2 linked regions of the Drosophila melanogaster genome follow. Changing the gene in region 2 together with the main gene of any one other region gives a genetic interaction. Each region holds a gene or a part of one and is shown on either strand. Other genes may lie near its edges.

Region 1 (3,753 bases), on a different chromosome or scaffold from region 2:
GGCGCCGTCGGAACTTCATGTGACACCGTTCGCACTCGAACGGCTTTTCACCGTTGTGTACCAGCATGTGGGACTTAAGCTGATTGGAGTCACTGAATTTGCCATCGCAGATTTCACAAGTATAGGGACGCTCTCCAGTGTGGACTCGCAAATGTCGTCTAAGATTGGCCACCTGAACGAATTGACGATCGCAGTGCGAGCAATGATATGGTTTTTCTCCAGTATGCAAACGCATGTGGGTTTTTAAGTGATGGTCACGAGTAAACCGCTTGTGGCACTCCGGACATTCGAAAGGCTTCTCACCGGTGTGGGTGCGTTCGTGGTTCTGAAGCACGTGCTTATAGCCAAAGCTGCGTGAGCAGATTTTACAGGTGAAGCTTTTGTCGCGAGATGGATCCTTGGAGACACCGACACATCCAGCATTTCCACCCGCTCCGTCGTGCGTTGAATTAGGAGAGCTGCCACTGGAAGGCGGAGATATTGGGCCTCCCGATGTATGGTACATATCGTTTACACTCATGCTGATCTCGGTCTGAAACTCCTTCTTAACCGATAACTTTCGAGCCTTCTTCGCTGGCTCATGGTGCTGGGGAGTGCTGTTGGGGGAATTTAATGGGTGCTTGCCACTACCTAAAGGAGTGGACAGCGGCGAGTGCGGGCTGGCTGGCGGCGAATGTAAATGCGTACCCTGGGGCGGGAGCGACTGTTGGGCAGCCCAAGCCCCAAACAAAGCCGCCGGATTGTGTGGAAAGAGAGTGTTGGCCAATGTGCTCATGGGCAGTTGGGCCATGAATGCGGCAGCTTGACGGTTTGCAGCCAGAAGTTGGGTAGGTGAGAGCATTCCAAAAGCTGAGGCAGCGGCCGCCTGTTGGAGACCCATAGCTGGATAAATCGCAGCGGCGCTTGTAGCTGATGTGTTGGCCGACATGGGGGGCGATAGCGACATGGAACGGTCTAGATGAACGTCCTCTTGTTTTATGCCAGCTAATGCAGCAGCTAAGGCTAAAAAAAAAATCATAAGTTAGTATGTTTTCATTTGGAAATGTCTTAAGAGCAACGGCTTAAAAGAGAAAAAAATTTTACATATGATACATGTGTGAGAGAAAGTTTCGTACGGAGAGAACTCTTAGTGTTTTCGCAGCTCTCTATTTTCGTCTAACTAGTTTTTGTTTTGGTCGATAACGAGTTAAGTGCCGGTTCCTGTCCAAACATGTAAACAAATTCTAACTAATCGGTATGTGTGCAATTACATTACATTTGTATTTTCTATCCTAAAGACATCGGACTGTTTAATAATGAGAAAGTGATCGGGGACTCTAGAACTTCTAGATAGTTTACAAACTTGGGGAATATTTTAATTTGGTCTAATACTTACTTCGCGTTTGTGCGTCTTGAAGCATTGATATGGACATCAACAAATTCTTCTTGTGCTCCTAATTTTGTGCTCGCGCAATGTTTTCCCGCACACAGAAAACACCTATAATATTCGCCTTCGTGGTTTTGGAGCTTCAGTTTTTTAGACAACAAAATTTCATTTGAGCAATTTGTGCACTTTCAGGGATATGAATAATTTTTGTACACACTTTTGTACTTTGAGGTAGAGAGATTTCACAAAAATTGTCTTTTATAAAAGTTTACCGATTTAGCAAAATGAGGTAGTTGAAATTTGATTCGATTATATTACTCGCGGTTGTGTGTGGCACAACAAATGGTTGTTCCTTTCGCTGACAGAGCCAAATCACGACTGATACAAATTCGCTGCGTGAGCTAACTATAAGTACGCTCTGTCTCGGCGAAAGATTCTCACTCACCCTCGTACGCACACACGCCGGGACTCAATTGGCTCTCCCGCTCACACGCACGCAAATAAGGGTGCAGACAGGAAGGGAAATCATCACGGCGAAAGCGAAAAACGATCCCCAAGCCTGAGCAGGTAAAGTAAAAACTGGGTACTTCGCTGAGTTGAGTGAGTTGATTTCATCGATTCCTTTTTATACCTAAAAGTGCTAATTTTTCATATGCAAATTGGTGCGAATGAGACAGCTAGAGGTTCCTTTCAATGCAAAAGATATATAGTCAGTTAGAGTCAAATATGGACGATGTGGTTTTTTAACATAGGTTGTCGATGCGAATTATCTTCGCTGAGTAGAGGGTTTTATGACCTTTACGTTTCTAGTCAGTAATAAAACATAAAAAATCAGAACTATGTGTTGACCGTTAAAGGACATTTTTTAATGCTTATGACCACTTCCGCTTGTGTTTTTTAGAGCCTTCATAAAAACTGCACTTGCAGGAATATTACACCACATAAAGATCACGTAGAAGTTTTTAGAGTTAGTAAGGGACGCACAACAAAAACTCACTCAGATGTGCCTTTGTCATTTCCCCTTTTTACATTTGAGCTATAGAAAATAACTAATGTGTCTAAGGGGGATGAACGCCAATGGAGAACAGGGCGAAAATGAAACAGCGAGAGCAAAAGAGCCAAAATTCATGAAAAGAGATGTCACGGACGGGGTTGAATTTCAAGCGTGCGCTGTACGAGTAAACAGGAAGTAAACAAAACATCGGCTTAAGGAGTGCAGAAAGTAAGAAAGAAGGTCGACGGTTTTTTACCAGCTATACTGAGTGAGTTTTTTGTCTTCCTTGTAGCCTGTTGAGCAAAGTCTCAAAGACGTGGAAGTTCAGTTTAATGGACAACTAATTATTGGCACACGTCTAAAAAAGAAATCGTAAAAAGGAACTAGTAAAAAACGGATTCAGGTAGAAAGGAAATATAATAAAAAATTGTAAGAGAGCTGCATCGTTGAAATTTTCTTGCTTGTATAGACGTTTTCTGTGACTTTTGCGGATTGACTTTTAAATGGTTTTATGTAGATTTTTATGGCAAGGACATGCTATGTTAAATTTATGTTGAAAATCGGTATTTTTGGTTTTGTAGGTAGGCCAAGGACGCTCAGAGCTCACCGGGTGGTAAATTTGAACTACCGTGGATTTTAAGAAAGTGAAACCAAACAAAAGCAGAAAGGCACACAAATATCCTTGCTCTGCATAATGTTACGTAAAATTATAATGGTTTTGTCATCGAATGTTCGACTTCATAGAAAGTTTTTCACCAAAACAAAATTCGCAGAAGGCATTAAATAATATGCAAGCAAAGCGCTTAAAACTGACCCTATTGATAAGAAATTCTTAAATTTCGGGCTGAGCTGACCGGTTTTAGAAAATCTTCATACGATTCCTATGTTTCGGCGATTAGTCAGAAATTTTTTTTGGTTGTTTGCGTGATAAGCAGAGGCTTGATATTGAAAGATCCACTTAAGCTCAACAGATTTTAATAAGATCCGGGCCTTATCGTTAATGACTTTGTCGGCAATCACTAAACTAGAATAGTATCAAAGCGAGTAAAAGAAAAATAGACTAGATTTTGATTGGCAAAGCGAACTAAAGATTTCCGAGTGAATGGGGCAGAAGTGCGTGTAAAGTGCGTATGGTCGAGGCCGCTGATAAGGTCCGAAATATGGGAACTTACCTGGGTCAACAAAATTAGTTTAGTTAGTTATTATTCTTTAATATTAATGAGTAGTTTGTAAAGCTGGGTCAAACTCATATTCTAATCGCGCTAAGCTTTATTTTCAAAGAAACCACGCGCTAAGCTAAAACATTTTAAACTATATTATTTTTCGCAAGAATATATCAATTATTGAGCAAATATATGAAGTGAAAACGAGGGTTGTCATCAAAGGGGAAATG
Region 2 (3,753 bases):
CCAGTAGTGTTCGACCTGGTGCTTCTGAAAAAACTCACGGGCCATTTTTTCCATTGGAAAGATCTTAAACTTGATCTCGCCAAAGTGCCGTCGCTGACTAGTCCCCTCCCAGACGAGTACGCATGAGTTCGGCACGTCCTGGCCGTCATTGCCCTTGGCGTTGTCCTCCTCCCACTTAATGCGCGTTAGCATGAGCCTGCGATACTTTTTCTGCTGCTTGGGCCCACCCTCCACGACAACCACACAGCAATCCCGGAACAACACCACGCTGCCGGTCATCTGCAGCTGCTTGGCATTGGTCTCCACCTTGAATTTCTTGCTCTGGTTGTCCTGCAGATCTCGTATGCGATAGACGCTGACATGTACACCGCAGCTGGTGTCTTCCCTCAGCTTGCGCTGCTTCTTTTCGCTCTTCTGCTCGCTGGTCAGCTTGCGCGCATTGTTGGCATCTTCGTGCGCCTTCTGCCGCTTGGCCATCTGGTCGCGCACATGCTGCTCCATTTTGGTCGGATCTTGTACGGCCTCCGAGCCAAGCACACGCATCAGGTTGGATATGCGCAGTTTCGGCTCTGGTGGGGCCACCAAACCCAGTCGGATCTTCTCCTGCTCCTCCTTCCAGGCCTCGCGACGGTTCTGGCGACGAAGCTTTTTGCGCTCTTTCTTTGTGAGGAAAACCGGCAGATACACTGGTTTCAAGGGCTCATCTGAAGGAGTAGGTGGTTAGTTGCTTGTGGGACATGTTCTAGCTTTCAACTTACTTGGCGGCTTCATTTGTGTGGGATGCTCTATAAGGTTGGTTATGGCTGTTTGGCGTATGCTTATCTTACCGCTTGCGTCGTCTACCGTCTCCAGATCCTGGGTCAGTATAACTGAGTCCCACCACTCCATGGCAGGCACATCGTCCGGCATGTCCTGCTTGGGGGCAATCAATGCCAGTTTGGTGGCCGACGAGATGCCCGTTTTCCGGGCTATTTGCGAAATCTCATTCTGTAGTCGCTCCAGCTGGCTTTTCATGCGCATTCGTTCGGCCAGCTGCTGGAACTTTCCGGGCTCGTGGAATCTCAACGTCCTCTTGGTTCTAACAGTGGGCTTCAGGGCTATGCGGTCGTCAAAGTACTTAATAGCTTCTTCCTGGGCCGAAGTGCCCGATTCACTCCGTTCACCCAAACCCGTTTGGCGTTGGAACACCTCCCGTTTCTTGGCGCGTATGTTGGCTTTCAATGTAGGTGTCACCGTGGGAATATTAATGGTACGTCCGCTCTTGTCCACAGTGCGTCCTTCATCGTCCAGAATCAGGGGTTTGGGTCGCTCCTGCGCTTGAGCAGCAGCTGCAGCGGCGGCCGCTACCGCAGTGGGCTGAATCAAACTAGCCAAATTGCCAGTAAGCTTGGCCCTGATCTGTGCCTGCAACTCGGCAATCTTCCTGGCCTTCTCCGAGTCCTCGGGCGTGGGCTTCTTCGCCAGCGCTTGAGTGGCTAAGGCAACTGGCATTCCGATCGATGGAACTGACGCCAGCAGCGGATCCTTGTCTCTTAGATTACTCAGGGCCCGCTTGCGTTCCTCGATCTCCCGCTGGGCATGGGCCATCATCAGCTTGATCTGCGTGGAACTCAGCGAGGCGGGCACGGCGACCTCTTCTTTCTTCTCACCACCGCCGCCATTCTTTTCCGGGACATCGAAGCGGGATTTCTTGGGCGCTTCAAGGGCGCTTCCACCACCACTTTTGGAATCTGAGGCGGCAGCGCGCTTTTTGGACAATTTCTGGTCGTCGCCATCCTTGCGCGTGATAATGGACGACATAATTCGCAATTAAATGGGTCGGACTAAAAAGTAAATGTTATTTACCAACTGCTTGGCACATTCCTTGAGCTTAAATCAGCGATTTGCAATTCAAAAACAATACACAAGGTTTTTGGTCTTTGGTGAAAAATTCTCCGAAACACGTTAGGACAGGGTCGTTAAAAAAACATAAAAGTCAGGGTTGTCATGTCGCCAGTGTGACCGTTTCGCTTTCTTTTATCGGGGTGCAACCCTAGTTCTCTCACTTTTTGTCGCTCTCCGCTCCGCCATATTTGTTGAAGCCGCTTACAATTGACTATTTTTTTCTCGTCGTGTCTGTGTGTGCTTAATTATTTGTTGTGGAAATTAAGACAATTTCGTGTGCTCAAACAGTGTAAAAGTTGCATTCGAGTGCTACAATGGCATCGGAGGAAGAGAATGACGATAATTTCCAGGGTAAGTGCATTGTTTCAGTCGGCCAAATGTCGGCGTGAAAAAAACTCGGTCCGACCGTCGCTCGGTCAGGCTAAGAACCGTGGTCATGTTCAAGAGCCGCAAAGCCGCGCAGCGTGCTGCGTCCCCCTCCCATTGTTTATTGTTGCCTATTATCCTAATTGGTCATTGTCATTGCTGTACCTCGTTATAAACTATTTGTATTACAGCAATTGGTGAAATTTGTACATGTGTGGCGCGTTTTTTTGGGGTCTTTTGCGCCTCCTCCATTCCACACATATTTTTTATTGCATTTTTGTGTTCCCTCCATTCGCGAATGCAGGCAATATATAGACGTCCTGCTCACTCATCAAAACATATGTTTTACATGGTTGTTTTGGTCGAAAGTTTTGAGTGGAATACTCTGTAAATCCTTTAAAATTAAGTTTTATCTTAAGTTCTTTAGCAATTAAGATGTTTACTTTACCTGTGAATTGTCAAGTGTCAATTGTAATATACGGAAAATTCATTTTAGTTCACACTTATTGTGGTGTTACCGTATATGCAGTGTTATCATCGGCTGTGCAATGGTATCACCAGAAAAATAGTGTGCCCCTTTTGGAGCTAGTCGAGAATGCCCAGACGGCCTCATCTGCCACCATTTACATTCATTGTTGCTTGGACGTGGCAGCCATGACGTGATTTCTGAGTTTTTGTTAAAGAGATTACATTATTAATTGTAGAGAAAACTGTTAATTAAGGGGAATACGTGCATTACTCGCCACCGCCTACCGATTGCCAGTGTAAAGCCACAAATCCAGTGCGTAATATATCCAACTGAAGGAAAAGCGAAAAAAGAATGATGAAAAGTGTGTGCAAAAAATAAAAACCTGAAATTACCACAAAATATGCATATATATATTATAAATTGTGTAAGAAAGCAATGCAAAAAGAAAACGAAGCAATATGTGCATATATCTAAAGAAACGAAACAAAGATGCGTGGAATATTGTGGAAAATCTTGTCGCACTTCCACTGACGCACATACATATGTGATTTTTTCCACTCCCCCTTCGCCGACGTGCTCTCTTGATTGATTTCTCCACTCTCTCGCGTACTTGCGTCTCTGTGTGTGTGCGTGTTATGCACGCGCGCTCCAGCCAAACGTCGCCGTCGCCCCGTCTCTGTCGCTCCAACGTATATGATAAAAAAAAACTCACAGAAACCCGACGCGTTTAAATTAAATTTAGTTAAAAACAACAACAAAAATATAGCTACCAATGCAATCCTACCGAAGTGCCTGCAAAACAACTAAAGTATAGTCTTTTTAACGAGTTAATCAAAATATGCCAACACACAAGTAAGATGAAGAAGGAGAAAAGTAGAGTGTGGAAAAGAGACGATGCCAAGGGATGGGATGGGAAGGTGCCCGTCTCGCGAGGAAATTGCTGGAATGTAGTAGTAGTTCATAGGAAAACTGATAAACAATATGCCGCCGCTGTGTAACAAAAAGCAGCAGTATCCATAGCCACCCCAATTTTG

Evidence for each region. Genes that interact genetically often act in the same process or in processes that back each other up.
Region 1: of Mi-2 (region 2) and Kr, changing one enhances a phenotype caused by changing the other (phenotypic enhancement), as found in Drosophila melanogaster (2 studies listed by BioGRID).

Annotation. Positions count from the first base shown.
Region 1 is NT_033778.4:25,224,611-25,228,363, reverse strand, and holds the start of Kr (kruppel), read right to left. Parts: upstream 1,754-3,753; 5' UTR 1,413-1,753; coding exon 1,376-1,412; intron 1,003-1,375; coding exon 1-1,002. UniProt on the Drosophila melanogaster protein: Krueppel is a gap class segmentation protein. It is involved in the segmentation of the embryo and in the differentiation of the Malpighian tubules.
Region 2 is NT_037436.4:19,908,525-19,912,277, reverse strand, and holds the start of Mi-2 (Mi-2), read left to right. Parts: upstream 1-2,062; 5' UTR 2,063-2,198; coding exon 2,199-2,235; exon of another isoform or gene 2,236-2,644; intron 2,645-2,698; exon of another isoform or gene 2,699-3,080; intron 3,081-3,753. Other genes in the region: Prp3 (precursor RNA processing 3), read right to left, coding at 1-704, 759-1,800. UniProt on the Drosophila melanogaster protein: ATP-dependent chromatin-remodeling factor which acts in nucleosome-remodeling by catalyzing ATP-dependent nucleosome mobilization. Involved in regulating transcription. Plays a vital role in development.